4 linked regions of the Anolis sagrei genome follow. The protein of the gene in region 1 purifies or fractionates together with the protein of each later gene. This does not show direct contact. Links are inferred from orthologs where the notes say so. Each region holds a gene or a part of one and is shown in the gene's direction. Other genes may lie near its edges.

Evidence for each region.
Region 2: the proteins of ARID4B (region 1) and SUDS3 purify together in Homo sapiens (affinity purification with western blotting; 3 studies listed by BioGRID, with this or other methods). This does not show direct contact. The link is inferred for Anolis sagrei from reciprocal best matches to the Homo sapiens genes ARID4B and SUDS3.
Region 3: the proteins of ARID4B (region 1) and SIN3A purify together in Homo sapiens (affinity purification with mass spectrometry; 5 studies listed by BioGRID, with this or other methods). This does not show direct contact. The link is inferred for Anolis sagrei from reciprocal best matches to the Homo sapiens genes ARID4B and SIN3A.
Region 4: the proteins of ARID4B (region 1) and HDAC2 purify together in Homo sapiens (affinity purification with mass spectrometry; 4 studies listed by BioGRID and IntAct, with this or other methods). This does not show direct contact. The link is inferred for Anolis sagrei from reciprocal best matches to the Homo sapiens genes ARID4B and HDAC2.

What each region holds. Positions count from the first base shown.
Region 1 is NC_090021.1:58,925,440-58,933,140, forward strand, and holds the start of ARID4B (AT-rich interactive domain-containing protein 4B), read left to right. Parts: upstream 1-4,689; 5' UTR 4,690-4,987; intron 4,988-5,178; exon of another isoform or gene 5,179-5,286; intron 5,287-6,140; 5' UTR 6,141-6,194; coding exon 6,195-6,200; intron 6,201-7,701. UniProt on the Homo sapiens protein: Acts as a transcriptional repressor. May function in the assembly and/or enzymatic activity of the Sin3A corepressor complex or in mediating interactions between the complex and other regulatory complexes.
Region 2 is NC_090034.1:45,536,984-45,543,811, forward strand, and holds the start of SUDS3 (sin3 histone deacetylase corepressor complex component SDS3), read left to right. Parts: upstream 1-3,803; 5' UTR 3,804-3,959; coding exon 3,960-4,164; intron 4,165-6,828.
Region 3 is NC_090029.1:8,581,266-8,588,298, reverse strand, and holds the start of SIN3A (paired amphipathic helix protein Sin3a), read left to right. Parts: upstream 1-4,007; 5' UTR 4,008-4,052; intron 4,053-7,033. UniProt on the Homo sapiens protein: Acts as a transcriptional repressor. Corepressor for REST. Interacts with MXI1 to repress MYC responsive genes and antagonize MYC oncogenic activities. Also interacts with MXD1-MAX heterodimers to repress transcription by tethering SIN3A to DNA.
Region 4 is NC_090021.1:91,450,420-91,457,679, forward strand, and holds the start of HDAC2 (histone deacetylase 2), read left to right. Parts: upstream 1-4,250; 5' UTR 4,251-4,365; coding exon 4,366-4,417; intron 4,418-7,260. UniProt on the Homo sapiens protein: Histone deacetylase that catalyzes the deacetylation of lysine residues on the N-terminal part of the core histones (H2A, H2B, H3 and H4).

The sequences.
Region 1 (7,701 bases):
TACTTAGTATCAACATTAAGACAACCCGATGTAAGATGCTGGCTGTGATACTTCTGTGTTTATCTGAAAGTCTCTTCCATCTTTTACACTGGAGCTAAATAATCTGGATTTCCCCAAACACTCACAACAGAGGGTTGTTGTGAGTTTTCTGGGTTGTATGGTCATGCTCCAGAAGCATTCTCTCCTGACATTTCACCCACATCTATGGCAGGCATCCTCAGAGGTTGCGAGGTCTATTGGAAACTAGGCAAGTGAGGTATGTATATATGTGTGTGTGTGTGTGTGTGTGTGAAATATTCAGGGTATGAGTTGTGAGTTTTGTTGGAAACTACGCAAGTATGGTATATATATCTGTGGAATGTCAACCATAGCAGAGCACTTGATGAACCAACTTGGACACAACGTATTATTTCAGAATATAGAAATGCTGGACTACTCTTAACAGCCATCATGTCAGACTACACAGAAAAGCCACTGAAATCCATAAGCATGTGAACAATTTCAACAGAAAGGAGGAAACCATGAAAATAAACAAAATCTGGCTATTAAAAAACACCAAAATCAGGACACTAAATAAAGAGCATCACTAAAAAAACTGGGGAATTACAGACAAGAAATAATTAGGGCCAGCTAACACCTCCCACCAAAGGATTCCCCCGGACAGGAAGCAGCCAAGCTTTGAAGCTATTAAATGCTAATCAAGGTGGAGAATTGCAACATTCACACTTGCCACAAGCAGACAAGAATTCTTTCTCACACCCTGGACACATTTCACACACACACACACACACACGCACACGCCTCACTTGCCTAGTTTCCAACAGACCTCACAACCTCTGAGGATGCCTGTCATAGATGTGGGCAAAATGTCAGGAGAGAATGCTTCTGGATCTTGGCCATACAGTCCAGAAAACTCACAGCAACCCAGTGATTCCGGCCATGAAAGCCTTCGACAACACACCCACAACAGGATTTGTGTGAATCTAGGAAAAACTAAACTTGCAAAATGCCAACCTCAAAGAACAAAACTTACACCTAACTTCTTATATGGCAGGCATGGACAAACTTGGGCTCTCCAGTGTTTTGGATTTCAACTCCCACCATTCCTAACAGCCTACCGGATGGATTGCCCATGCCTGTTATATGGTGTTTCAGAAGTTAGCCTTTTCATCTTAATGTATTGGGTTAATAAACTTTTAAATCCATACACAAGCCAATTCTGCACTGGTTTGTCCAAAAATAAAATAACACTTTTTGTGAGATTGCAATCAATAGCTTATTGCCAATTGACACTTCAACCACTTAAGGGCAGTCTCATGATCTTGTTTCTCTAACTGTTTTTCCAGCAAATACTTAATTACATTCACTGTAATAGCCACAAAGGGAAACAGAAGATCTGTAAAATGTATATGAATGCATGACATTTGGATGCAAGTAAAGAAAAATCAAGAATGTGAAAAATTCAAAAAAACCGGCAGTGACATTACACCTCACGCTGTTCCACAAAAAGATCCACTAAACTGCTAGAAGTTATCAGTAACAAGAACTACATTTTCCTCCCACTGTTTTGTATAAAAGAATATACAATGTACTATTCGACTTGTTGCAGAGTTCTCCTGGGCACAAAAGAACCTCCTTTTGCTACAAAACATATAAGATAGTTGAGGTGTATTCTGACAACAAAATAACCTGTGATGGATTGATATGGATATTTGATTACTATCTCTATGATCTACCCACGGTTTGTTGTTGAAGGCTTTTATGGTCGGAATGACTGTGTTGCTGTGAGCTTTCTGGGATGTATGGCAATGATCCAGAAGCATTATCTCACGATGTTTCGCCACAACTATGGCAGCCATCCTCAGAGGTTATGAGGTTTGTTGAAAACTAGACAAGTGGGGTTTATATTCAATGCTAATCAAGGTGGCCAACTGCAACATTCACACTTGCCTCCCACAGACAAGAATTCTTTTTCCCTCTGTGGACATTCCACAGATATATAAACCTCACTTGCCTAGTTTCCAACAGATCTCACAACCTCTGAGTTTGCCTGCCACAGATGCGGGCGAAACGTCAGGAGAGAATGCTTCTGGAACATGGCCATACAATTCGAAAAACCCACAGCAGCACAAGAATCAAAATTTATTATTATTTCAACAGAAAGGAGGAAACCATGAAAATGAACATCTGGCTACCAATATTTATAAAGTCTAAATTCAAAACAGTAAATAAAGAACAACATTTAAAAAGCAGGTGAAATCCAGATAAGAATCAATCAGGGCGAGCTAACACTCCCAAAAAAGGATCCACCAGGCAGCAATCAGCCAGGCTTTGAAGCTACATAGCCATTAACTGCTAGTCAAGGTGGCTATTCACACTTGCCTCAAACCAACAAGTTGTTTTTCCACAGATATATAAACCCCACCTGCCTAGTTTCCAACAGACCCCTCAACCTCTTAGGATGTGTCTGCTATAAATATGGGTGAAACATCAGGAGAGAATGCTTCTGGAACAGGGCCAGACAGCCCAGAAAACTCACAGTTAACCAAGGTTTACTTCATAGGCTCATCTTGACTTATTCTCCACTCCTGTTATTTGATGGGAAACCTTTTCACACAAATGCCATGTTCCTTTGCCTCATACTTTGAACACAGATATCTACATAACAGAGTATACAGGAAATACTATGTTATTGTTATTATAGAAACATCAAATGTGCTGTAATGTCAGTTTAACTGGAGCCTGACTTTTGAACAACTAGACAGATCCTGTCAATATAAGCAAATACAAACATTTACCTGCAATAGTGGTAAGTTTAAGATTTGTATTTTAATGTTGTATATAAAAAAAATGACATCACAGCACATTTGATGTTTCTATAATAACAATCTATATAAATAAAAATGTAATGTTCGTTTGTGGGATTAACTCAAAAACCACTGGATGAATTGTTGCCAAATTTGGCCACAAGACACGTACTCACCCAAGGAATGATCATCACTCAAAAATATGATTTTGTCATTTGGGAGTTGTAGTTGTTGGAATTTATAGTTTGCTTACAATCAAAAAGCATTCTAAACTCCACCAATGATGGAACTGAACCAAATGTGGAACACAGGACTCCCATGACCAACAGAAAACACTAGAAGGGTTTGGTGGGCATTGACCTTGAGTTTGGGAGTTGTAGTTCACCTATATCCAGAGAGCACTGTGGACTCAAGCAATCTGGACCAAACTTGGCACTGATACCCAAAATGCCCAAATATGAACACAGATGGAGTTTGGGGGAAATAGACCTTGAAATTAGGGAGTTGTAGTTACTTAGATTTATAGTTCACCTACAATTAAAGAACATTCTGAAGCCCACGAACGACAGAATTGGGGCAAATTTCCCACACAGAACCCCCATGACCAACAGAAAATCATTAAGGCCATCCAGTCCAACTCCCTTCACCGGGGCAAGGAAATGTAATCAAAGCCCTCCTGACAAAGAGCCATCCAGCCATAGATATAGATAGATAGATAGATATGATTCACACACAGAGAGATATAGTATTATAGATTTGAAAGGGCAATGATACGTTGCATGTTCCAGAGTAGGCAAATCAAACACTATCCACATCAACACTGACAAAGAAACAGCAAGAAATACTGTTTACCCAACAAGCATAAAGAAATTCCATATATTAGAAACCAACACTTTCTCATTACTTTATTTCCCAGATCACCAGACTGGGCCACAGCAACGCGTGGCAGGGGACAGATAGTAACATATTGTTTCCTGTATATTCCTCTTCCTCCTCAACAAGTGAGGAGACTGAACTCACGAAGTTACTCTCAAGGCTTCCAGATTGTCATAAAAGAACATCCCCTGCCTTCACATAACATGGAATGACTTACATCCCTATATAATACAGGCGCCACTCCACGTTTAGAATGAATCTAATTTTCAGCGATGAAAAAGAGGTCTTCAACAAGCCAGCCGCATGACACACCGTATCTTGGAAGCCTCCGGAAAACCAGCCAACCTCCCGCTTGCCTGCGCCTCCTGCCGTCTCTCTCCGCCCGCGGCCCCTTTAATAGTCGCCTGCGATGGTGGGCGGGGCTTGGAGCAGGGCGGGGAGCAGCGGAGGTGAGGTGGGGGGGGGGTCTCCCGAGGAAGGCTCCGGCTCGCGCGCCCTGGCCTCCTCCGCCGACGGGCGCGAGCCCTTCTCCCCTCCTCAGGCGCCGCTCGGTCCCGCTTGGTGGTCTCCGGAGCGGAGAAGGCCAGGCCCCACCCCCGGGTCCCTTCCGCCTCAGTCGCCACCTTCGCTCGATGGGGGGAAAATGCGCCACCGGAGCGCCTTGGCGCAGGCGCGGGCTCCTCCCACTCCTCCCCTTGCCGTAAGCCCTCTCCGGCCCTCTCCCCCTCTATTTGCTTGCTCCGCTCCCGGTGCATTTCGGGAGTTGTAGTGCAGCCGGGTGCACAATCCCCGCCGGAGTCTGCGGCAAAAGGTGACAGCGGAGGACCTCACTACCCAGAAGGCACCGCGGGGGCCGAGTCTCTGTTTCCATAGAACGGCGGTGAGAATTACATCAGTGTTTCAGCTCGAGAAGCTAATGGCGTGGAGGGAATGGGCGGGCTCTGCGCCTCGGCAACCAATGGCGTGCCGGTAAGGCGGGGAGAGGGCGGGCTTTGCGCCGTCAGTCACTCCTGGGTCTTGGGGGAGGGGAGTGAGCAGCTCGGAGGGGAGCCGCCGCCGCTGCTGTCGCTGTCGCCGCCGCCACCGGGGCTGGGACGGGAGGGACCGCTGCCCCCCCTCGCCCGCCCGCCAAAGATTTCTCCGCGAGCGTGGGATTACTATTCTCCTCCTCGACTGCCCAGGGATCGGGTCCAGCGTTGGGAGGAGGCTCCATCCTCCTCGCGCCCCCCCTCCCCCCGCCTCGAAGGTTTGGGGGGACCCGCGAGACAGAGAGAGAGGGAGAGAGCGCGCGCCGCGGAACAAAGGTAACGTTGCCCTGAGCGAGACCTTCCCTGAGTGGAAGGAAGGAAGGAAGCCCTTTGAGGAGAGAGAGAGAGCGAGGAAGAAAGAAAGAAAGAGAGAGAGGGGCGCTTCTCCGGTGTGTTGTTTTCCTCGTCGAGTCCCGCCGATTCAAAGCCCCCCCCCCCATCTCCTTTCCTCCCTTCCCCATACATACCGGAGCCTGGAGGTGGAGGCCAAGGAGGCCCTCGAGCCCTCTCCCTCCCTCCCTCGACCGAGCTGCGGCTGTTGCTCAAACTCCTGCCGCGGAGTCAGCGTTTGAGGAGGCAGAAAGAGAGAGAGAGAAAAAGGGAAAGGAAGAAGGGGAGCAAAGGAGAGGAAGGGAGGGAGGGAGGTGGGGGCGGTTTGGGAAGCGGCGCGGACGACGACGGGGAGGAGGAGAAGGAGGCGAGCCGCTTCCCGAGCCGCCCCCACCTTCCTTCCTTCTCATTCTTTCCTTCTCCTTCATTTCTTCCTCCCTTCCCCTTCCTTCCCTTCTTCCTTCCCCTTCCTTCCCTTCTCCCCTTCTCCCTCCTTCTTCTTTCCTTCCTTCTCCTTCTTTCCTTCCTTCTTTCCTTCTCCTTCTTTCCTTCTCCTCCTTTCCTTTTCCTCCATTCCTTCTTCTCCTTCATTCCTTCTGCTTCCTTCTATCTTTCTTTCCTTCCTTTCTTCTCCTTCTTTCCTTCTCCTTCCTTCCTTTCCTTTCCTTCCCCTTCCTTTCCTTTCCCTCCCTCTTGCCTTCCTTCCTTCTCTCTCTCTCTCTCTCTCCCCCGATACAATGGCGAGGCCTCCCCTCCCTCCGAAGAGGCGAAGGCGGGGAGCGGTGGCCGGTGAGCCGCTTGTTGTGAGGCCGTTGGTTGTTGTTGTGGCAAGTTTCTCCTCTGACAGAAATGGCGTCAAAGGAAGGCGGCAGCGAGAGGGGGAAAGCGAAGCCGCCGTGTGTGAAAGAGAGAGAAAGAGAAAGGGAGGAAGAAGGCCAAGCCGGGGGGGGGGGGGGCGAGGGAGGGAGGGAGGAGCGGGCTTTGTGTGTGTGTGTATGTGTGTGTGGAAGTGGGAGAAGCGCCCCAAGAATACTACATATCCCCCCCCCCCGAAAGGGGGAGGTGCGGCGGTGCCTCAGTGCTTTGTTTTACATTCCAGGTCCTCAGCCGCTCGACCTCTTTTCGGGTTTGACTCCTGCAGTTCTTCTTCATCATGAAGGTAAAAAACCCCTTGCCTTGCCTGTCTGTCCCTGTTGTGCGGGGAGAGGATGGGAGGGCGGTTATGTCTACTACTCCAGCTCTGCCTTTTTTTCAGTGCTGTGTTTTCCAGAGCCAGGCTGCTTGCTGCCGGTTGTTTTCCTCTCTTGAACATGTCGTCGTGTGTGTGTGTGTGAGGCAGGGCTTGGCTTTTTTTTTTAAAGCCTCCTCTTCGGCTGCAGAATGGAAAGCAAGCCAGCGAGCCGGAGTTTGCCTCCTTTTCCAAAGGGAAGGAGGACATGGCTGCCTGGTGTATAGTTTGGTGGGAGGGAGAGGAGGAGGAGGAGACAGCATTGGCTGTCCCTCAGAAAGGTCTGGTTGAAACAGTTGTGTTTTGTGCATAGATCAGGCATGGGCAAACTTGGGCCCTTCCAGTGTTTTGGACTTCAACTCCCACCATTCCTAAGAACCTCAGGCCCTTTCTCCCTCATGCGCTTAAGCTATTTGACAGCATAATATTGACTACCTCAGAGTATCCCAACTCTAAAGATATTATAAATCTCTTCCTAATATCTTCCACTTCCCCAGTTTTTTCCCCTCTCATCAAATTAGTCACATTGCTCAGAATATAGCAGGCATGGGCAAACTTGGTCCCTCCAGGTGTTTTGAACTTCAACTCCCACCATTCCTAACAGCCTCGGGCCTTTCTTTCCTTTCTGCTTAAGTGGCTGAGGGGGAAAGGGAGGGGAGGGGGCCTGAGGCTTTTAGAAATGGTAGGAGTTGGTCCAAAACACCTGGAGGGCCCAAGTTTGGCCATGCCTGGTTTACATGAAAGGATAGAGCCCTTTTGTATCATTTAGTGTTGAGATCAATATTTGGAAGCACCTTCATTAGATAGAAAACCACTGGTTTTTTTGGTTTTTTTAAAAATCAAAGCCGCTTTTTAACTATCGGATGCAGAGAATGTTTATATAGCATGTACGTTTTAGCTAGCCCCCAGTGATGCAGTGGGTTAAATCACTGAGCTGCTGAACTTGCTGACCGAAAGTTCGGCAGTTTGAATCTGGGGAGTGGGGTAAGCTTCCACTGTTAGCCCAGCTTCTGCCAACCTAGTAGTTTTGAGTAGATCAATAGGTACTGCTTCAGCAGAACGGTAACAGCACTCCATGCTGTCATGCTGGCCACATGACCTACAAGATGTCTATAGACAGTGCTGGCTCTTTGGCTTGGAAATGGAGATGAGCACCACACCCCAGAGTGAGACATGACTAGTGTTATTGTCAAGGAGAAACCTTTACTGGTGGCCAAGTGTTTTGAAACAAACGAGATGGAAACAATGTTCATACTGTGCTTCTTATTTAAAAGAGATGAAGAGAAAAGACAAAGTCTCAATGATTTTCTCATTTGATAAGCCCAAATCATCTTAAGACTTTGTCTCTTCTGTACAGCCCTTCCATTGCGTGTTATCAGTCTGGGTTGCTTCTCCTTATTTTTTGAACCTGTGTTGATTATATTCATGGACT
Region 2 (6,828 bases), on another chromosome or scaffold:
AGTTTTTCAATGAATATCTCATCATTTAGTCTCAACCAATTCAACATATAACCCTTCCAGACAGGCCCTATATCCCAGAATCTGATCCCATGTTTTCTACTTTAAACTGGGGGCTCTTCCATACAGCCCTATATCCCGGAATATCAAGGCAGAAAAGCCCACAATATCTGCTTTGAACTGAATTATCTGACTCCACACTCAGATAATGTTCATAAAGGGAAAAGGGGGCATGCAGGATTGGGGAAAGATTGGCCTTTGTCATCTGAAGTTCATAAGGGAAGACATGGTTATAAAATATTATTTACTTGGCATTCCCTTTTGCTAGCCTCAGACAGAAAGGCCTTGGAATCCTTTGTCTGTAGGTCATTGACTGGTATAGGGGACAATTAGCACAGTTGTTAATTCATGGGTCTGCTTAGGTAGGCCAAAGGTCAAATGCCTTTTGTGACAGGGTTACCAGTAAATATAGCAATTACCTTTTGTTATAAATATGTAAAATATAGGGCATAAATCTTGATTAAATGTACACACAATTTAACATGGGAATGGTCCTTGTTGTGGTTGTTAGTCCTTCTGCAGATTGGCCAAAACTTAACTCTTATTATATCATTCTGATGTTGAACACGAATTTGGAAGGCCCTGCCAAGGCAGAGACCAGCTAGACCCAAAAGGGGGATCCAAAACATCTGGCAAGACAGCAAGCACAAAGAAAGATTTTCCCTTAATTTCCCAAATAAAGTCTCACCAAGTTGAAGGAAAGCCACCGAAGTTTTTATTTCATTCCAGTTGGAACGGATGACGACTGCAGTTATCTGCCTGAGGAGCTGACATGCTCACTGGGCAAGGAAATAAAATATTTATAGAACTGTCAAATTCAAATCTCCCGTGCCCACCTCCTGGTGGTTGGAGTATCAGCTGACTGGGAGGAGCAGCCGGGGAGGCTGCGTTCTGTCCAATCAGAGCACTAGCCCCGCTTCGGCCACTCAGCCAATGAGTGGAGAGGAAAGCGGGCCAGAAGGGAAACAATGAATGAATGAGTAAAGTGATGAGATTATGAATGGCCTCTTCCGCACCTGTATTGATAAGAGGGCCAAAGCGATAGCTTAGCTCTCAAGCCTCAGCCCAGACTATTGTCCTGAATCTTGAAATATCATCTTTTGTCTGGCCCCAAAGGATAGTTCCATTGTCTTATAATCCAGTGATATTTACTTGATGATGAGAGAGTTTTCACAATGGGCAGTGACACATAGGTGCCTTCTGTGTTGAATGTTTTAACGTGTCCATGGGTCACATCTTCCTGGATGGTCTGGTTAATGAGACCCTCCGAAGTCCTGGAGAGGGGCCATTGGTCCATGCAAATTGTTTTGGTCAAGTCCTTTTGTTAGGGGATTACTGGCTCAGGAAGTTGTGGAGTCCCTAGAGCCATGAGTTTCTGGCATGGTTCATGAAAAGGTCACTTTGCTTCATAACTTTTATACATACACACATATAATGGATGGTGGCACTGTAGGGGCAAAAACGATCAAGATAATCCACAAATCCAAAATCCAAGAGCAGATTGCCCCTTCCCAAGGAGGGCGAGGAAGGACACCACGAAAGTTGAATCTTTAAAACTGCAAAATGCTATTTATTGTGCAGCTGAAGCAATAGTGACAAACATGCATATAGAAATGCAATAAAGGGATTTGTCCAACCTAAAGTTGGTTGCATTGATTATTTATGACTTTCATTAAAACAGTTTGATTGGTACATAGAAATCAATCATCTCATTGGTTCCCAAAGACAAATCATTTCATTGGTCTAAGTTAACTATGCAGTTCATTAGTTGTTTGTGATTTTGATTGACATTATAGCACACGTGGGATCCTAACAATGGCACAAGTATAACATAACTATAGTCCATTGTTCTCTGACCATGACTGTATCTTATCTGTTAGTCTGTTGCAAACATGGCTTCAGAGCGACTGGGAAACTTGGGGGTTCTATCTAGCAAACAGCTAGCTGGTTTTGTCCGGATATGTTGTTACCCTTGAATAGTAACTTCTTCTTTGGAGCACTGATTTCTCAAACAATCAGCATTTTCTGTGAACAAAGGCCTACTGCAGAAATAGGCCAATATGGCAGTAAATCATGACATATGGGCATTGGGGAAATATATGAAAATTCCCTTTTTAAAACCACGTCCCCTCCAGCACGAGGCATATACAGAGATCATATGAGAAAGGGGGAGGCATGCAGGGTCAAGGGGGAATTCATCTCAGTCACCCCAAAGTCCATAAAGTTCATGAAAGTTGGCAAGAAGTTAATAAAAGTTCTCAAAGGTTTCAGAAAGTTCATGAGAGTTCATACAAGTTAATAAAGGTACCGAGTAGCTAAAGTCCATTAATAAAAACAGGAGGTTCATTCATAAGTCCAATTCATAAGTGGCGAGATTGGCCTGCCAGTGGTCGGGGGTCCCAAGGAGTGACCACAGGAGACTCCCCGGGTTTGAGAGGCTTCCAAGTCAACGTGCACAAGAAGAACAGGTTGTGTGGAGCCATGGAAATAAACCTTCCATGCAGGCATGTAGCGGGGGGGGGGGGGGGGGGGGGGGACAAATTCTCATGGTGGTTCGCGAAAAGGCCTTACTGGTGCATTATTTAAACTGTTATGTTTATTCATATCATGATCTGATCACCATACTCAATATATCCCATATGCATGGGGGTATTCAGATAATGATACAAAAGGTTTGCTAGTCTAGACCCTCTTTCACTCAGACTCAGCCCCCCCCTCGAAACTCAGCCCCCCCCCCCCCGAAACCCCCCTGAAAATTTTTTACCCCCCCCCCCCCCCCCGAAACGAAATCCTGGCTACGGGCCTGGTTCCATGCAAAGAGGTGGATCTCCGGGCGCAGGGGTCCATTCAGCAAAAAGTAAGATAGCAGTTAGTCTTAGAATTGACCCAGGAAAAAGATGACATTGATTTGGAGTCGATCGGTCAACCTGCAGACACCAGTGCCAAGCTGGTTTCCGTATCCGCGGTTTGAAGGATCGCAGTTTCGGGCTCCCCAGTACATTGTAAGAGTGTCGCAGGTGAGCCAGCGGAGTTCCGCGGCTCGGGAAGAGGAGGGTTCATATTAATTGGTGTTAGAGTCAGTAAAGGGACACAATGTATCATTGCAGAGAGAGAAACATTAGAGAAAATAATACTTTTTATTGGGGGGATTGTTACAATGAAGCGGGGGGGGGGGGGACTAGGAGGGAGGAAAAAGGTTTCTCAATTGAAGCTGTTACTGGAGCCCCAGTCCTTTGGTTCATCTTGAAAGTCCATGTTGTCAGGAACTGTGGAACTCCCTGCTGCATTCAAATCAGTTTGAAGGCGGGGGCCTCTGAGTTCGACCTCAATTCCAGCTTGCTGTCCTTGGCAAAACTATGAATTCCCTGATTATAAACTATCTTTTATCGGGGGGGGGGGGGTCACTTCCACACAGCCCTATATTCCAGAATATCAAGGCAGAAAATCTCACAATATCTGCTTTGAACGGGGTTATCTTAGTCCACACTCAGATAATGTGGGATTTCCTGTCTTAATATTCTGAGATATAGGGCCGTGTGTACGCCCTAACTGAACGCGGAAACACTTCACGAAGCGTGTGGGTCCATGACTGAGTCGAGTCTATGTTCAAGGCACTAAGAGATGGACGGCACCTGTGCTTTCCGCCTAAGGGAAGCGCTGCGGTCCAAAACTAGTGATGACAACGAGCGCGGGTAAAGACGCGCGAAGGCTTCACGGAGCGCATGCGCAAGACGAGGAGGCGGGGGAAAGATCCGGAAGCGGCTTGTGCGCCTGCGCGAGGGAGCCGAGCTGCTCCTTCGCTCGCTGTGAGGCGAAGGAGAAAAAGAGCGGGTCTCGAAGGGGGAGGGGAGGGGGCGCGCGCTCTGCGCCGCTTTCTCCGCCGCTTTCTCCGCGCTGCGGCCATGAGCGTCGCGGCCTTGGTTTCCCCCGCCCTGCCCTCGCCGGGGCCGCCCCCTCCTCCCACCGCAGCCGTTTCTACGACCACGGCGCTTCCCCCCGGGACAGGCCCCGCCCCCGCCGCCGAGAGCTATGAGGAGGAGGACCTAGACAGCCCGCTCGACGAAGAGGATGGCGAGCGGAGCGGACGCGCACGGGACTCCGACGAGGGTGAGTCTGGAGCGGCTTCTCAGGGGGCATCCACACTCCAGACCTAACGCGGTCTCGTGCCGCTCTCTTTGCCCCGGCTCAATGCTGTGGGCTCCCGGGAGTTGTCGTTTGTCGAGCCTTTGCCAGGGAAGGCGCCGGACTTGGTGAAACGAACAGCCCGAGGGATTCTGTCGCCTTGGCAGTTCCGCTGGTTTCGAACCGCGTTAATCCGACAGTGTAGGTGTCAGAGCGATGGTGCGAAGAGAAAAGGGAGATGTATTGTCGAAGGCTTTCATGGCTGGAATCACTAGGTTCTTGTGGGTTTTTTCGGGCTATAGGGCCATGTTCTAGAGGCATTTCTCCTGACGTTTCGCCTGCATCTATGGCAAGCATCCTCAGAGGTAGTGAGGACCTCACTACCTCTGAAGATGCTTGCCATAGATGCAGGCGAAACGTCAGGAGAAATGCCTCTAGAACATGGCCCTATAGCCCGAAAAAACCCACAAGAACTTAGAAAAGGGAGAGCTCGCAACGCTTCCAGGGCCCCTTCCATGCCACTTTTTAAAATCGTACATTATCTGCTTTGACCTGGAATATATGGCAGTGTGGACTGAGGGCCCTTCCGCACAGCCCTATATCCCAGAATATCAAGGCAGAAAATCCTACAATATCTACTTTGAATTGGTTTATCTGAGTCCACACTCAGATAATGTGGGCTTTCCTGCCTGGATATTCTGGGATTTAGGGCAGTATGGAAGGGCCCTCAGATAACCCAATTCCACACAGATTTTGTGGCGTTTTCTGCCTTGATATTCTGGGTTATATGGCTGCGTGGAAAGACCATGGGTTCTCCGAGTCCACACTTCCAGATCACACTGGGTCCTTCCACGCAGCCGTATAACCCAGAATATCAAGGCAGATAATCCCTAAGGCTATGCTTTGAACTGGATTATCTGAGCCCACACTGCCAGATAGGGCTTTTACCCCAGGATCTGATCTCAGGTTTTCTGTTTATCCCAGATTATCTGGCAGTGCAGACTCATAATCCAGTTTAAAGCAGAAAACTTGGGATCAGATCCCAGGTTATATGGCTGTGTGGAAGGCCCCCCAGAATATCAAGGCAGAAAATTCCACAATATCCGCTTTTAACTGGGTTATCTGAGTCCACACTGTTATATATTCCAGTGCAAAACAGATAATGTGGGATTTTATTCAGCTGTGTTGAAGGGGCCCCTTTCTACACTGCCATATAATCCACATTCTCAAAGAATTGGATTATATGAGGCCCTGTCTACACTGCCCTGTATCCCAGGATCTGTAACCATGGTTGCTCTTTATCCCAGGTTATTTTATTGTGGTGGTGGTGGTGGAGGATGTCACATAACTGTCACCTCTGGTTGCTTGATAGATCCCCCCCCCCCATCTTGATTGACAGTTGCTCGAGGATTCTGGTTGCTCAGGTTCCCGCTAACTGAGGGGCCTTCCGCACAGCCCTATATCCCAGAATATCAAGGCAGAAAATCCCACATTATCTGAGTGTGGACTCAGATAACTCAGTTCAAAGCAGATATTGTGGAAATTTCTGCCTTGATATTCTGTGTTACATGCCTGTGTGGAAGAGCCCTCAGAATCTGCTGTTACAATTTTTTAAAAATCTAAACCGAAGCAACCTGGGATAGGTTTGTGGGAGCAGATAAACCCAATCTGTGTAGAATCCTGGGATTTGTAGTTTGAGAAGCCACCAGCAGTCTCAAGGCCTTGCCAAACTACAGTTCCCATGGTTCCCTAGCAGTGAGCTGTTGAACTATTCATTTGACAGTGTGAGAGAGAGCATCCCGTCTCCCTCCCACACTGCCTTTCCCTTTTTCCTTTGTGCCATGTCTTCCTTAGATTGGAAGCCTGGGGCAGGAAACTGTTGGGTTCTTGTTTTTGCAAAGCCTGGCGCCATGGAAACAGATGGAGGAAATCAGGATGCTCTTCACCCCCAAAATGTTCCCCAATTGTCTGCGTGAGCCGGTGTGATAGCAACTCTTCTGCTTTCACGTGGCTTGATATAAACAAACCATGCTTCATGTCCAATGTTTTGTTTTTTTTAAAAAAACATTGTGCATGTGAAACATAAGAGGATTTTGTGTTTAGACCCAAGATATCTCACAATATATGTGCAAATATTCCCCAACACCTCTGGTCCCAAGCATTTCAAATAAAGGATTCTTGAGCAATTATTATAATAGATGTGACATTCCTATTGATCTGTCTCTAGGGTTTGAGTATAGAAAGAAATAGAAATCAAGACCTGGTAATGGGTTTCAGACCAGCCTTCCCTTTATAATACTAAGTAACACAATTTTTGTTCCTGGGTTATAAATGTCATTCCTGATTAGTTCTTTCATAAAATATGGAAAAAGTTTATTAAACTGCATCTTGCAGCACATTTTGCTCTAGTTTTTCAGTAAATATCTCATAGAGTCTCAACCAATTCAACGTAATTTGTGGCAGCCACAAACATGAAGTTTCTGTATAACAGCTCCTTTAAAAGTAAGCACCGTACAATCAAACAGGAACAACACTTTCAAACCAGGAACAGAACATTTTTCAAAATTTGTTACCTAGGGTAATCAACTTAGTTTCTTTACAATGGTAAAGCAGATGCCCAGATCCCTTGTCATTGAAGTAGGTGCATAG
Region 3 (7,033 bases), on another chromosome or scaffold:
CCCAATTTTGTGAGTCTTAGGTATCCCAATTCCATGGGTTCTAGGTAACCCAAGGATGATGGAATGGGAGAGGCTGTAAAGAAGCCTCTTATTCTTTGCAGGGAGGTTCTCGATATCCCAATGCCATGTGTTTGCCATGGATTCCAGGTGTCCCAGTACAATGGGTTCTAGGTATCCCAACACAACATTATTTTTGCCCCACTTTCCTTCCTTCTGTTGGCTTTTCCTCATTCCTTTTCTATTCCCTGGAGAAGAGAGCAGCATCCGAACCAACCTCAGTAACTTTTTACTGGAAAATAAGCTCTATTGAATGTGCATATTCTTCATTTTTATTTACTACAATCTATTCTCTTTTTTCCTTGTTTTTTTTTAATAAACAAAATATTTAACATTAACTTGATCAAATCCGAATTGGAGATAACTGTAAATGTTCTCAGTTCGCTGTTGTATGGCGACATCCGTTTTTGTTTCGGGGTTTTGTTTTTTTGTTTTGTATTTACGGAAATAAAGTATACAGACAACTCACCATTTCCGGATGTGTCGAATGTACCTTTTCTATCCAATCAAAGCTTCTTGTTCCTTGTTTCTTTTTTTATTTCCTCCTCTCTTCTTTCACTTCTTTTTTCCCCTTCTCTTTATTGTGGCAGTGCCTTTTATATTATAAATATAAATATTATAAAATAATAATATATATAATTATAATAAATAAAGCAGTGCGATTTCCAATGTGGCCTCAAGAGGGCGGCATAGAGGCACATTTTATCTGCTTTGATCAAGGGTGCAGTTTTCACTGTGTCCACTGGGAGCGCCAAAGAGTTCCAAACAGTTTAGAAAAGGGATTATTATTAAATAAAATAATAATAATAATTAATTTACAAATTCCCACTAGGTGTACATTTATTTATCTATATCCCAATTTAGCTCTCCATACAGATACTCAAAGCGGCTCACAATCAAAAACATTAGAACCTCAAATATACAATAATAAAACAATATTGCATATATTATCAATAGTAATTATATTTACTATATTTGTTTTACTATATTATATATATTGTATTAGTATATTGTATTACATTATAATCCCAATATATGTATATACAATATATTAGCATACTACAATATTAGTATATATTACTATATACTAATATATATAATATATATATTATATATATATAATATAATATTATATATATAATTATATTATACCAATACACACACACACATATATATATATACACATATACACACACACGTGTCAGGACTGACTTGAGAAAATGCAAGTCACTTCTGGTATGAGAATTGGCCATCTGCAAGGACGTTGCCCGGATGTTTTGATTTTTTACCATCCTTGTGGGAGGCTTCTCTCATGTCCCCACATGTGGAGCTGGAGCTGACAGAGGGAGCTCATCCGCACTCTTCCCGGATTCGAACCTGCGACCTGTCGGTCTTCAGTCCTGTTGCCACAGAGGTTTAAGCCATTATATATATTATTATATATATTGTATTACATTATAATATCAATATTATACATACAATATTTTAGCATAGCACAATATTAGTATTATATATTGCTATATTGTACTATACCACTATACTGAAATATTATTAGCAATATTACATGTAAGATATACAGTTGTCATATATTATTATATTTTATTATATTATTATACCACAATATATAAAATACACTGTCAGTATATGGAGCCTCCTGTGGTGCTGAGCTGCTGAACTTGCTGTCCGAAAGGTTGCAGGTTTGAATCTGGGGAGTGGGGTGAGCTCCTGCTGTTAGCCCCAGATTCTGCCAACCTAGCAGTTCTATCTACCTTTCTATCTATTTATCTTTCTATCTAGCTATCTATCCTTGATTTCTTTCTATTAATCCATCTATCTAGCCTTTCTGTCTATCTTTCTATTTATCTATCTATCTAGCTTTCTATCCATCTTTCTATCAATCCTATCTATCCATCTTTCTATTTATCTTTCTATCTATCCATCTATCTACCTATCTAGCGCTCTTTCTATCTTTCTATTTATCTTTCTATCTATTCATCTATATATCTATCCATCTTTCTATTATCTTTCTATCTAGCTATCTATCCTTGATTTCTTTCTATTTATCTATCTAGTTATTTTCTATCTGTCTAGCTTTCTTTCTTTCTATTTATCCATCTATCTTTGTATCCATCTTATCTATTTATCTACCTTTCTATCTATCTTTCTATCTTGATTTCTTTCTATTTATCTAGCCTTCTATCTATCTATCCATCTATCTATCTATCTATCTATCTTGATTTCTACCTTTCTTCCTTTCTATCTATCCATTCATCTATCCATCCATCCATCTATTTGTGTACCTATCTATCTAGCTTTCTATCTTACTATTCATCTATCTATCCATCTTACTATCTGTCCATCCATCTTTCTCTCTCTCTCTCTATCTATCCATCTTTCTACCTGACTATCTATCTATCTATCTATCTACCTATCCATCCATCCATCCATCTAGCTTTCTATCTTTCTATCTATCCATCTATCTCTCTGTCCATCTACCTAACCTATCTATCAATCCATCCATTTTTCTATCTATCAGTCCATCTATTTATTTATCTATCCTATCTATCTACCTATCTAGATTTCTTTATCTTTCTGTCTGTCTGTCTTTCTTTCTTACTGTCTATCTATCTATCTACCTATCTATCTATCTATCTATCTATCTATAAGGTAAAGGTAAAGGTAGTCCCCTGACATTAAGTCCAGTCATGTCTGACTCTGGGGTGTGGTGCTCATCTCCATTTCTAAGCCAAAGAGCCAGCATTGTCCGTAGACACCTCCAAGGTCATGTGGCCGGCATGACTGCATGGAGCAAAGTTACCTTCCCGCCAGAGCGGTACCTATTGATCTACTCACATTTGCATGTTTTCGAACTGCTAGGTTGGCAGAAGCTAGAGCTGACAGCGGAAGCTCACGCCGCTCCCCGGAATCGAACCTACAACCTTTCGATCAACAAGCTCAGCAGCTCAGTGCTTTAACCCACTGCGCCACCGGGGGCTCCATCTATCTATATCTATCTTGATTTCTATCTATCTTCCTATCTATCTATCTTTCTTCCTTTCTATCTATCTTTCCATCCATCTAGCTTTCTATGTAGCTTTCTATCTTTCTATCTATCTATCCTATCTATCTATTTATTTTATTTATTATTTATTTATTTCTTGCATTTATTAACCGCCGCTCTCAGCCCTAGGGCGACTCGTGGCGGTGTACAATACAAAGAAGACACTTTACAAAGCAATCAGGACAACAAACTAACATCACTAATACACAACATTTAAATTACACTAAAAATCCGCTGCGTCATATTATGGAATCATAATCAATCTCGTAGTCGTAAATTCATTCCGGTTGTCATTTCCAGTAACATAGCACTCAGTTGAAAGCCTGCTCGAAGAGCCACGTCTTCAGGCCCTTATGAAAGGCCATGAGGGAGGGCGCCTGTCTGATGTCAGCAGGGAGGGAGTTCCACAGCTGGGGGGCCAACACCGAGAAGGCCCTCTCTCTCGTCCCCGCCAGACGTGCCTGTGAGGCAGGCGGGATCCTTCTATCTACCTACCTACCTATCTAGCTTTCTTTCTATCTTGCTATCCATCTATCTATCTGTCCATCTTTCTATCTTGATTTCTACCTACCTATCCATCCATCCATCCATCTAGCTATCTTTCTATCTGTCCATCTGTCTGTCCATCTATCCAACCTATCTATCTATCCATCCATCCATCTATCAGTCCATCTATCTTTCTATCTATCCTATCTATTTATCTACCTTTCTATCTATCTTGATTTCTTTATCTATCTATCCATCCATCTATCTTTCTATCTATCCATCTTGCTATCTAGTTCTCTCTAGCTTCCCAAAAACCCACTAGACGAAGGGGGCGTGGCTTCCCCCCGCCCCGCCCCGCCCACGGCTGTGACGCACTCCCCTCCCCCCAGCCAATCCCCTTCGAGGGGCGTTCCTTCCCCATTCAGGAATCCTGGCTGGGCTTGGCAAGGTAGGCAACAGCTGCTTCCCCATTGAGGATGCTCACGTTGCTTCCTGATTGGGCGGCTGGCTTGTTTTCCTTGATCTCCAGGGGGGAGATTTTTGGGGGGACTGTTTGGGGGAGGGAGATGGGGAAGGATCCACTCGATCCCTGTTGTTTGTGGCTCTCCAGTCTGGGGATCCCATTGCATTGGGCCATAGCATCATATAGATCAGGCATGGGCCTGATCTATAGAGATCCCGAGGCAGGGAGTTCCACAGGTCAACAGGAACTGTTTTTCCCATAGCATCATATAGATCAGGCATGGGCCAACTTGGGCCCTCCCTCCAGGTGTTTTGGACTGCAACTCCCACCATTCCTAACAGCCGGTAGGCTGTTAGGAATGGTGGGAGTTGGAGTCCAAAACACCTGGAGGGTGGGCTCATGCCTGATCTATATGATGCTATGGGAAAAACAGTCCCTGTTGACCTGTGGAACTCCCTGCCTCGGGATCTCTAAGATCTATATGATGCTATGGGAAAAACCAGTTCCTGTTGACCTATGGAGCTCCCTGCCTCAGGATCTCTAAGATCTATATGATGCTATGGGGAAAAAACAGTTCCTGTTGACCTATGGAGCTCCCTGCCTCAGGATCTCTAAGATCTATATGATGCTATGGGGAAAAAACAGTTCCTGTTGACCTGCGGAACTCCCTGCCTCAGGATCTCTAAGATAATACATTCATGCACGGCATAAAAGGTCTTCCCTGTCAGCTATTACTTATATGAACCATGCATCATCGCCTCTGGCGTAGTGTTACATGTTCATGAATTTACTAGATGCGTCTACACTGCAATTTTAACACAGTTTCGACCCCACTCAGACTGCCCAGGCTCAAGACTATGAGGTGCTCGGAGTTTCGCCTTCCCTGTCCAAAGGTTGGGTTGAGAAATAATTCGGCTTTGGAGTTGCATCGGAAACCTGTGGGTCAGTTGTTTCATACATATACATACATACATACATATATATATAGCAAACACGTATGTATACACTGCATATTCCTATATATGTTTATTTATTTATTACATATACACACACACAACGCACATAAATAAATGCATATATCATATCTATATATATGTATATAGCTGCACATGCACAAATATACAAACATACATCTCCCATATTAATATACACATATATATACATACCTCTCCCATGTATACATACACACACACACATATACACTGCATGTATACACTGCATACTGGCATCTTCCTATATATGTTTATTTATTTATTACATATACACACACACAACGCACATAAATAAATGCATATGTCTCTCATATCTATATATATGTATATAGCTGCACATGCACAAATATACAAACATACATCTCCCATATTCATACACACACATATATATACATACCTCTCCCATGTATACATACACACACACACACACACATACACTGCATGTATACACTGCATACTGGCATCTTCCTATATATGTTTATTTATTTATTACATCTACACACACACAACGCACATAAATAAATGCATATATCTCTCATATCTATATATATGTATATAGCTGCACATGCACAAATATACAAACATACATCTCCCATATTCATATACACACATATATATACGTACCTCTCTCATGTATTCATACACAAACACACATATATAAATATAAAATAATAAAATTTATACTCTGCCACCATCTCCCCAGAGGGGACTCGGGGCGGCTATCTCTTATATATATACACATACCTCTCCCATATATATATATATATATATATATATATATACACACACACACACACACATACATACATACATACATATACATACACACACACACATGCATCTACTATATATACATATACATACACATCTCCTCTCTCTATATATAAACATATATGCATACACACATATATACACACACATTTCCCATACATACATACACATCTCCCATATATATATACACACATATATACATATATATAGACTTCCCATATACACACATCTATCTCCAAGACACCTATACACATACACATCTCCTATATATATATATAGACACACACACACATATGTATACCCACACATGCATACATACATACATCCCTCATATATAGATATACATACATCTGCCAGGATTCCATAGCCTTGAGCCATAGCGGTTAAAGTGGGGTCAAACTGCATTAATCTCACAGTGTAGAAGGATTGGCTAGTCCTCACTTCCTTGATCTATACTGTTACTGTCATATAACATCATATATTTAGTTTGGCTTAATAGGCTCTGTGTGTGTAATATACATGTAGACACACAGTTTTGGAAGTATACGACTTCAAACTGACTTCATTTGGATGTATGTATGTATGTATGTATGTATGTATATGTAGTCCGCACTTGTGGTTTGGAAGTATATGTGTCTTCAAGTCACTGGTCAACTAAATAGGTTATGAATTCTGTATATAATGTATTCTACATTTAAGTGTATGTGTATATGTGTATGTATGTGTGTGTGTATATATGTGTGTGTTTATGTGTATGTATGTATATATATATATACATATATATAGTCAAGCTGATTGTCAACTTAATAGGTTGTGTTGTATATATCATGTATTCTACATTTAAGTGTATGTGTATATGTGTATGTATGTGTGTATATATGTGTGTGTTTATGTGTGTGTGTGTGTGTGTGTATATACATATATATATTCAAGCTGATTGTCAACTTAATAGGTTGAGTTGTATATATAATGTATTCTACATGTAAGTGTATGTGTATATGTGTATGTATGTGTGTGTATATGTGTGCGCGTGTGTGTATTCAAGCCGATTGTCAACTTAATACGTTGTGTTGTATATATAATGTATTCTACATTTAAGTGTATGTGTGCGTGTGTATATATGTATATATAATCAAGCCGATTATCAAATTAATATGTTGTGCGTTGTGTATATAATATATTCTACATTTAAGTGTATGTGTA
Region 4 (7,260 bases), about 33 Mb from region 1:
CCAAGGGAAAGCTCAGGGTTTGGGTTGGAGGTGGGAACAAAATCCCAGGAGGAACTAGGTTAAAATAAGATGTCTCCCAGTTCCTCCTGGAATTGAAGGCACTGTAGAAGGGCCCTTAGACTCTATCTAAACTGCCATATGATGAAGTTAAACTGGCAATCCCCAAGTTACAAACATTCAACTTACAAACAACTCATAGTTACAAACTGGGGTGAGACAACCAGAAGTGAAAGAAATCTACTCCTGGAAAGGGAAAATAATTTCTGGAAGAGGTAACATGGCAAAAAGGTGTCTCCGTGGAAGTTCTCATCAACTCTTGTATCCACAAGCTAAATTTTTCAAAATCCAATTATCACAGGGACAGAAAATGAGGTGAAATCTTCTGAACAGGGGCACAGACAGCAAAACAGGGGCACAGACAGCAAAATCTGACCACCTGGAGTGCTTCTGGTGTTGCCGCAAGGAGATCCTCCATTGTGCATGTGGTAGGGCTCAGGTTGCATTGCAGCAGGTGGTCAGTGGTTTGCTCTTCTCCACACTCGCATGTTGTGGATTCCACTTTGTAGCCCCATTTCTGAAGGTTGGCTCTGCATCTCGTAGTGCTAGAGCGCAGTCTGTTCAGTGCCTTCCAAGTCGCCCAGTCCTCTGTGTGCCCAGGGGGGAGTCTCTCATTTGGTATCAGCCATTGGTTGAGGTTCTGGATTTGAGCCTGCCACTTTTGGACTCTCGCTTGCTGAAGTGTTCCAGCGAGTGTCTCTGTAGATCTTAGAAAACTATTTCTTGATTTGAGTCATTGATGTGCTGGCTGATACCCAAACAAGGGATGAGCTGGAGATGTCTCTGCCTTGGTCCTTTCACTATTGGCTGCTACTTCCCGGCAGATATCAGGTGGTGCAATACCTGCTAGGCAGTGTAATTTCTCCAGTGGTGTAGGGCGCAGACACCCTGTGATAATGCGCCATGTCTCATTAAGAGCCACATCCACTGTTTTAGTGTGGTGAGATGTGTTCCACACTGGGCATGCGTACTCAGCAGCAGAGTAGCATAACGCAAGGGCAGATGTCTTCACTGTGTCTGGTTGTGATCCCCAGGTTGTGCCAGTCAGCTTTCATATGATATTGTTTCTAGCACCCACTTTTTGCTTGATGTTCAGGCAGTGCATCTTGTAGGTCCAGAGTGATTCCAAGGTATTTGGGTGCGCTGCAATGCTCCAGTGGGATTCCTTCCCAGGTAATCCTCAGAGCTCGGGATGCTTGTCTGTTCTTAAGGTGAAAAGCACATGTCTGTGTTTTAGATGGATTAGGGATCAGCTGGTTTTCCCTGTAATAGGCAGTAAGAGCACCTAGAGCTTCGAAGAGCTTCTGTTCTACCATCTCAAAGCTCCCTGCTTGAGTGGTAATGGCACGATCATCAGCATAGATGAAACTCTCTGTCCCTTCTGGCAGTGGCTGATCATTTGTGTAAATGTTGAACATGGATGGAGCAAGCACGCTCCCCTGAGGCAGGCCGTTCTTCTGTTTCCGCCATCTGCCTCTCTGGCCCTGGAACTCAACAAAGAAACTCCTGTTTTGTAGCAGGTTTCCTATGAGGCGGGTGAGATGGTAGTCCTTTGTGATATTATAATTTTTCTCAGGAGGAGGCAGTGGTTCACAGTATCATAGGCTGCTGACAAGTCGATGAAGACAGCTCCTGTGATCTGCTGCCTTTCAAAGCCATCTTCTATGTGCTGAGTCAGGTTCAGCACTTGCGATATGCACCTTTTGCCTTTCCTGAAGCCAGATTGCTGTGGGATCAGACAGGGGTCTATGTTTTCCATAATTCTATGCAAAATAAGTCTCTCCAGAACTTTGTAAAGATGGCGTAACAGGGAGATTGGTCTATAGCTTTTTGGATCATTACGGTCTTTGCCTGGTTTCAAGATGGCAATGACTCTTGCTTTCCTCCAGATTTTGGGGATCTGACAGGATGCAGTGCAGTTGTTCATCAGCTCCAGCAGCCAGTGTCTTGCTTTTGAATCAAAGTTCTTGATTTGTTCCATCCGTACATCATCCAGGCCAGCTGCTTTGCCATTTTTACATTTATTGAGAGCCATGTCCAATTCTGTAGATGTAAAGGGTTCATGGAGGTTGTTGTTCTCAATCTCTTGTTGTCTGGCTATTGGTTTCTTTCCTACTTTGGTGGCAAGGTTGGGTTTCCCATTCTTCAAGAGTTGGTGTGCTATTTGATCTGCCTTTATGTTGGCATGGGTATTAGTTTGTGAGCGGTCGTTGCTCAGTCGACCCGTCAAAGCCGACCCCTTAAAAAGATAGTGTATTGTGTGCAGGGCCGTAGCCAGAAAACAAATTCGGGGAGGGTTGACAATTTTGGGGGGGGGGGTTGAAAATTTGGGGGGGGGTTGAAAATTTCGGGGGGGGGGGGGGTTGAAACCTGCCTCCTAGCTCACACTGAAACGAAGAGCACAGCAGGGGGCAGAGCAGCCTTCAATTGTTGTTCATTCGTTCAGTCGTCTCCGACTCTTCGTGACCTCATGGACCAGCCCACGCCAGAGCTCCCTGTCGGCCGTTACCACCCCCAGCTCCCTCAAGGTCAGTCCAGTCACTTCAAGGATGCCATCCATCCATCTTGCCCTTGGTCGGCCCCTCTTCCTTTTGTCTTCCACTTTCCCCAGCATAATTGTCTTCTCTAGACTTTCCTGTCTCCTCATGATGTGGCCAAAGTACTTCAACTTTGTCTCTAGTATCTTTCCCTCCAGTGAGCAGTCGGGCTTTATTTCCTGGAGGATGGACTGGTTGGATCTTCTCGCAGTCCAAGGCACTCTCAGAACTTTCCTCCAACACCACAGCTCAAAAGCATCGATCTTCCTTCGCTCAGCCTTCCCTAAGGTCCAGCTCTCACATCCGTAGGTTACTACAGGGAATACCATGGCTTTGACTAGGCGGATCTTTGTTGCCAGTGTGATGTCTCTACTCTTTACTATTTTATCGAGATTGGACATTGCTCTCCTCCCAAGAAGTAAGCGTCTTCTGATTTCCTGGCCACAGTCTGCATCTGCAGTAATCTTTGCACCTAGAAATACAAAGTCTGTCATGGCCTCCACGGTTTCTCCCTCTATTTTCCAGTTGTCAATCATTCTTGTTGCCATAATCTTGTTTTTTTTTTTTGACGTTTAGCTGCAACCCGGCTTTTGCGCTTTCTTCTTTCACCTTGATTAAAAGGCTCCTCAGCTCCTCCTCGCTAGCCCCTGTCAGCCACCTCCACCAAGTCTGGCCTCCTTAATGAGAGCATTCAACACCCCCCCCCCCCCAACTTGGTTGCTTCACTACATTGGCTATTGCTGCAAGTAATGACAGTGTGAATAAATTGTCAATATTTGCTTGAGATAGTGCTTACAGTTCTGGAGGGACTCTTAATTTTTTGCATCTCAGACTTAGCATGGGGATTTGGTTAACCAGTTAATATTCATGAGTAAACCAGGTTTTTTAAAAAAATCTGAAACATTTCGGGGGGGGGGGGTTGAACCCCTAAAACCACCCCCTCGCTACAGGCCTGATTGTGTGCCTTTATTTAATAGGATAAAGGCACACAATACACTATCTTTTTAACATCCATACCCGATGATGAACCCAGTGGCCTTCGAAAACGTGTGCAATGTGTTGGGGGCCTTTTATTTGGCCTAATAAAGGGACCACTTCAATATGTTATTTAGATTTTCCTGCATTTTCTTTCAAAATCATTATGTGAGAGCTTAAGAGGGAGAATGGGCTTGGAGGGGAACTATTTTGTAGGGATTTCGTCCAACAAAACTGCCCGCCTTTTGCAAAACCCTTCAAAAAGGAAGAAAGAGGAAAAGGCGCGCGAGGCCGGAGCCAACATTCTCTGGGGTCTCATCCGAAAAGCGTCTCTCACAGCCAGGGAAAAGAAGCCCTCTGCGCTTGCGCACTCCGCACATGCTGATTGAGCGAGGTCGAGCACAGCAAGAACGGACCGCTTCGTTACGCAGACCGTACCATTGTGTCGTCGAAATTGAGGGGGATGAAGAAAAGAAGTTGATAAATTTTCGCTCTTTCTTTCAAGTGTAAAGGGCTCTGCCTCAGGAACTCTCTGCAAGTTACCATGTTGCCTTCGTTTGGTACCGGAGCGCAATTCTATGCCTTCGAAAAGGCGGGGCCTGAGAGTGCGTTTCCCCGCTCCTCCCCCCCTGCGGGTGGTTCCTTCCTCGAGTGGCACGAGCCCGCGGCTGGAGGAGGCGGGGCCGGCTTTTTCTCACGCAGCTGCGTCGCCGCCTCAGCGCCAGGCATCTCTGCTGTGCCCTGCCGGCCTCGCTTGATCCGGAGGTAGCTGGGGATTCCCTCAAGAGGCGGCTTCATGGCATACAGTCAGGGAGGCGGCAAGAAGAAAGTCTGCTACTACTATGACGGTAAGAAAAGTGGGGTTTCTTTCGCGTTTGAGGGGTGTGTATGCCTTTAAGTCTGTGAGAGAGCGCCTGAGGGTGAAACCCCCCCCCCCTTTTGTGCTCCGGCGCGTCCGTTGGTTCTGTGTACTCCCCGTGCGCGCGCCCCATCCCCATCCCCTGCGCGCGCCCCCTCTTCCTCCTGTCCTCGCGCGCCTTCTTGCCCCCCCCCCTTTTTTTTCCTTCCCGGCGCACGCGCCGCCTACAGCCCCGCCCCCTCCCTCCCTCCTCGACGCCCCCTCCCCTTTTTCTGTGCCTCTCTCTCTCCCCCCCCCCCCCCTCAGACCTATTGTGTCTGTAGAGGCGTCTCTCCAGAGTCCAGACGGAAGTTGCTAACCCAGACTCTTTCATCTCATTTTTCCTCCCACCTCCACCCTCTTATCTCTTGCATCCTCTTTTCTGTTTGTGAATACTTGGCTGCTAAAAGATAGCACTGGGATGGATGCAAAGGTATCCACCTGGAATGGAGGCTATTGTCATCCCCCCCCCCCCCGGATTTTGCATTGCAGGTATCCCAGGAAGCATCGGCACTGTAGAATAAATGAAGTTTTGACACCATTGTATTTTATAATTCTACTAGCCGTCCCCTGCCATGCGTTGCTGTGGGCCAGCTTGGTGATCTGGAAAATAAAGTAATAAGGAAGTGATGGTTTCTAATATATGTATTTTCTTTATGCTTCTGGGTAAACAGTATTTCTTGTTTCTTTTTCAGTATTGATGTAGAGATTGTCTGGTTTGCCTACTCTGGAACATGTAACATAGAATTGTCCTTTAGGAGTCCCTTTAAAATCTATGAAACTATATCTGTCATATTCATATGTATGTGTGTGTGAATCATATATAACTATCTATATATGGCTCTTTGTCAGGAGGGCTTTGGTTATGTTTTTTTGCCCGGGTGAAGGGAGTTGGGCTGGATGGCCTTCACCCAGCATTTCTCAACCTGGGGGTTGGGACCCCTGTGGGGGTCATGAGGGGGCGTCAGAAGGGTCATCAGATAACATCAGGAAACACAGTATTTTCTGTTGGTCATGGGGGTTATGTGTGGAAAGTTTGGTCCAGTTCTATTGTTGGTCGGGTTCAGAATGCTCTTTGATTGTGGGTAAACTATAAATCTCAGCAACTACAACTCCCAAATGTCAAGGTCTGTTTTCTCCAAACTCCATCAGTGTTCACATGTGGGCATATTGAGTATTCATTCCAAGTTTGGTCTAAATCCTTGATTGTTTGAGTCCATAGTGCTCTCTGGGTGTAGGTAAACTATAACTCCAAAACTCAAAGTCAGTGCCCACCAAACCCTTCCAGTATTTTCTGTTATTCACGGGAGTTCTGTGTGCCAAATTTGGTTCAAGTCCATCATTGGTGAAGTTCAGAATGCTCTTTGATTGTAGGTGAACTATAAATCCCAGCAATTACAACTCCCAAATGACAAAATCATTTTTTAATATATATTTATTTTTCAACATTTTCAAGAGAGAGAAAAAGGCATCCAAGATTACAGTGAAAGTGGAGCAACAGTGTGCTCGCCTTAGAAAGAAAGGAAAGAGCAAGAAGAGAAAAAAAGGAGGAGAGGGGAGGTGATGGCTTCCTGTTCGATCCACAGGGACGTAAACAATTGTGTCCATTTACTTTTCCGCATTATAACTTAGTTACTTTTCTCTATATTAGTTGGTATATCCTTCATCCGTAGAGTTGGATTTGCATATCTTCCTGCATAAACCTTCTCAGAGGCTCCCAATTCGTCTGTTTATTCTTATTTTTATTGTCAATGTATTGTGATAAGTTGTCCATGCTCATATAGTCTAGGATTTTGTTTATCCAATCACCAATTGTAGAGGGTCTTTCTCTTTCCATTTTTGGGCAATTGTCGTTCTTGCCGCAGCTGATATATAAAAAAACATCTTTTCGTTTTCACCTAAATTCAAGTTTGTTATGTTCAAAAGATAAAATTCCGGTTTCAACTCAAATTTCACCCTAATAATTTTTTGGGTACATTTGTGTATTGCTGACCAGTAATTTTTGATTGTTTTGCACCCCCACCACAAATGGAAGTGGGTGCCTAGCTCTTTTTCGCATCTCCAGCATCTATTAATTTTTATTGAATTTTGATATTTGTAGAGGTGTCAGGTACCAGCGAAAATATATCTTGTACCATCCTTCAATTATATTTGTAGCTTTCGTGAACCTTAACTTCTTCCAGATGTTCTCCCAATCTTTTAACAATATTGGATGGCCAATGTCAATGGCCCATTTTGTCATATTTTCTTTTATTCTCTCTTTTTCCAAGTCCCATTCTAACAGGCTTTGGTAAAGAGTTTTAATTAATTTTTGATCCTTTTTCATTATCTTATCCCAACTTGATTTCTTGGTATTGAACCCTACTTTTCGATCTTCTTTGAAGCATTCTTTTGTTTGCCAATAGTGAAACCAGCTCATTTTTCTGTCATATGTAGGCATGCCATCCTCTTCTAAGGTCCCACCCCTCTAGGGTTAACATTTTTCTGTTTTGTAGGGTCACCCAGTCGTTGATCCAGGTCAGAGCACTCGCCTCAAAATAACGTTGCAAATTAGGGAGGGTGAGGGCAAAATCAATTTTTTGAGTGATGGTCACTCATTGGGTTGTTAGGTGTATTCTGTCCAAATTTAGTGTCTATCCGTCCAGTGGTTTCTGAGTTATGTTAATCCCACAAACGAACATTACATTTTTATTTATAAAGATTTAAATGTTTAATTTACCTACATTGTTTGAAGGCATCAAATAGTTGCCTAAGTGTAAGCTGCCTTGAGTCCCCCTCCAGGGTGGAGAATGG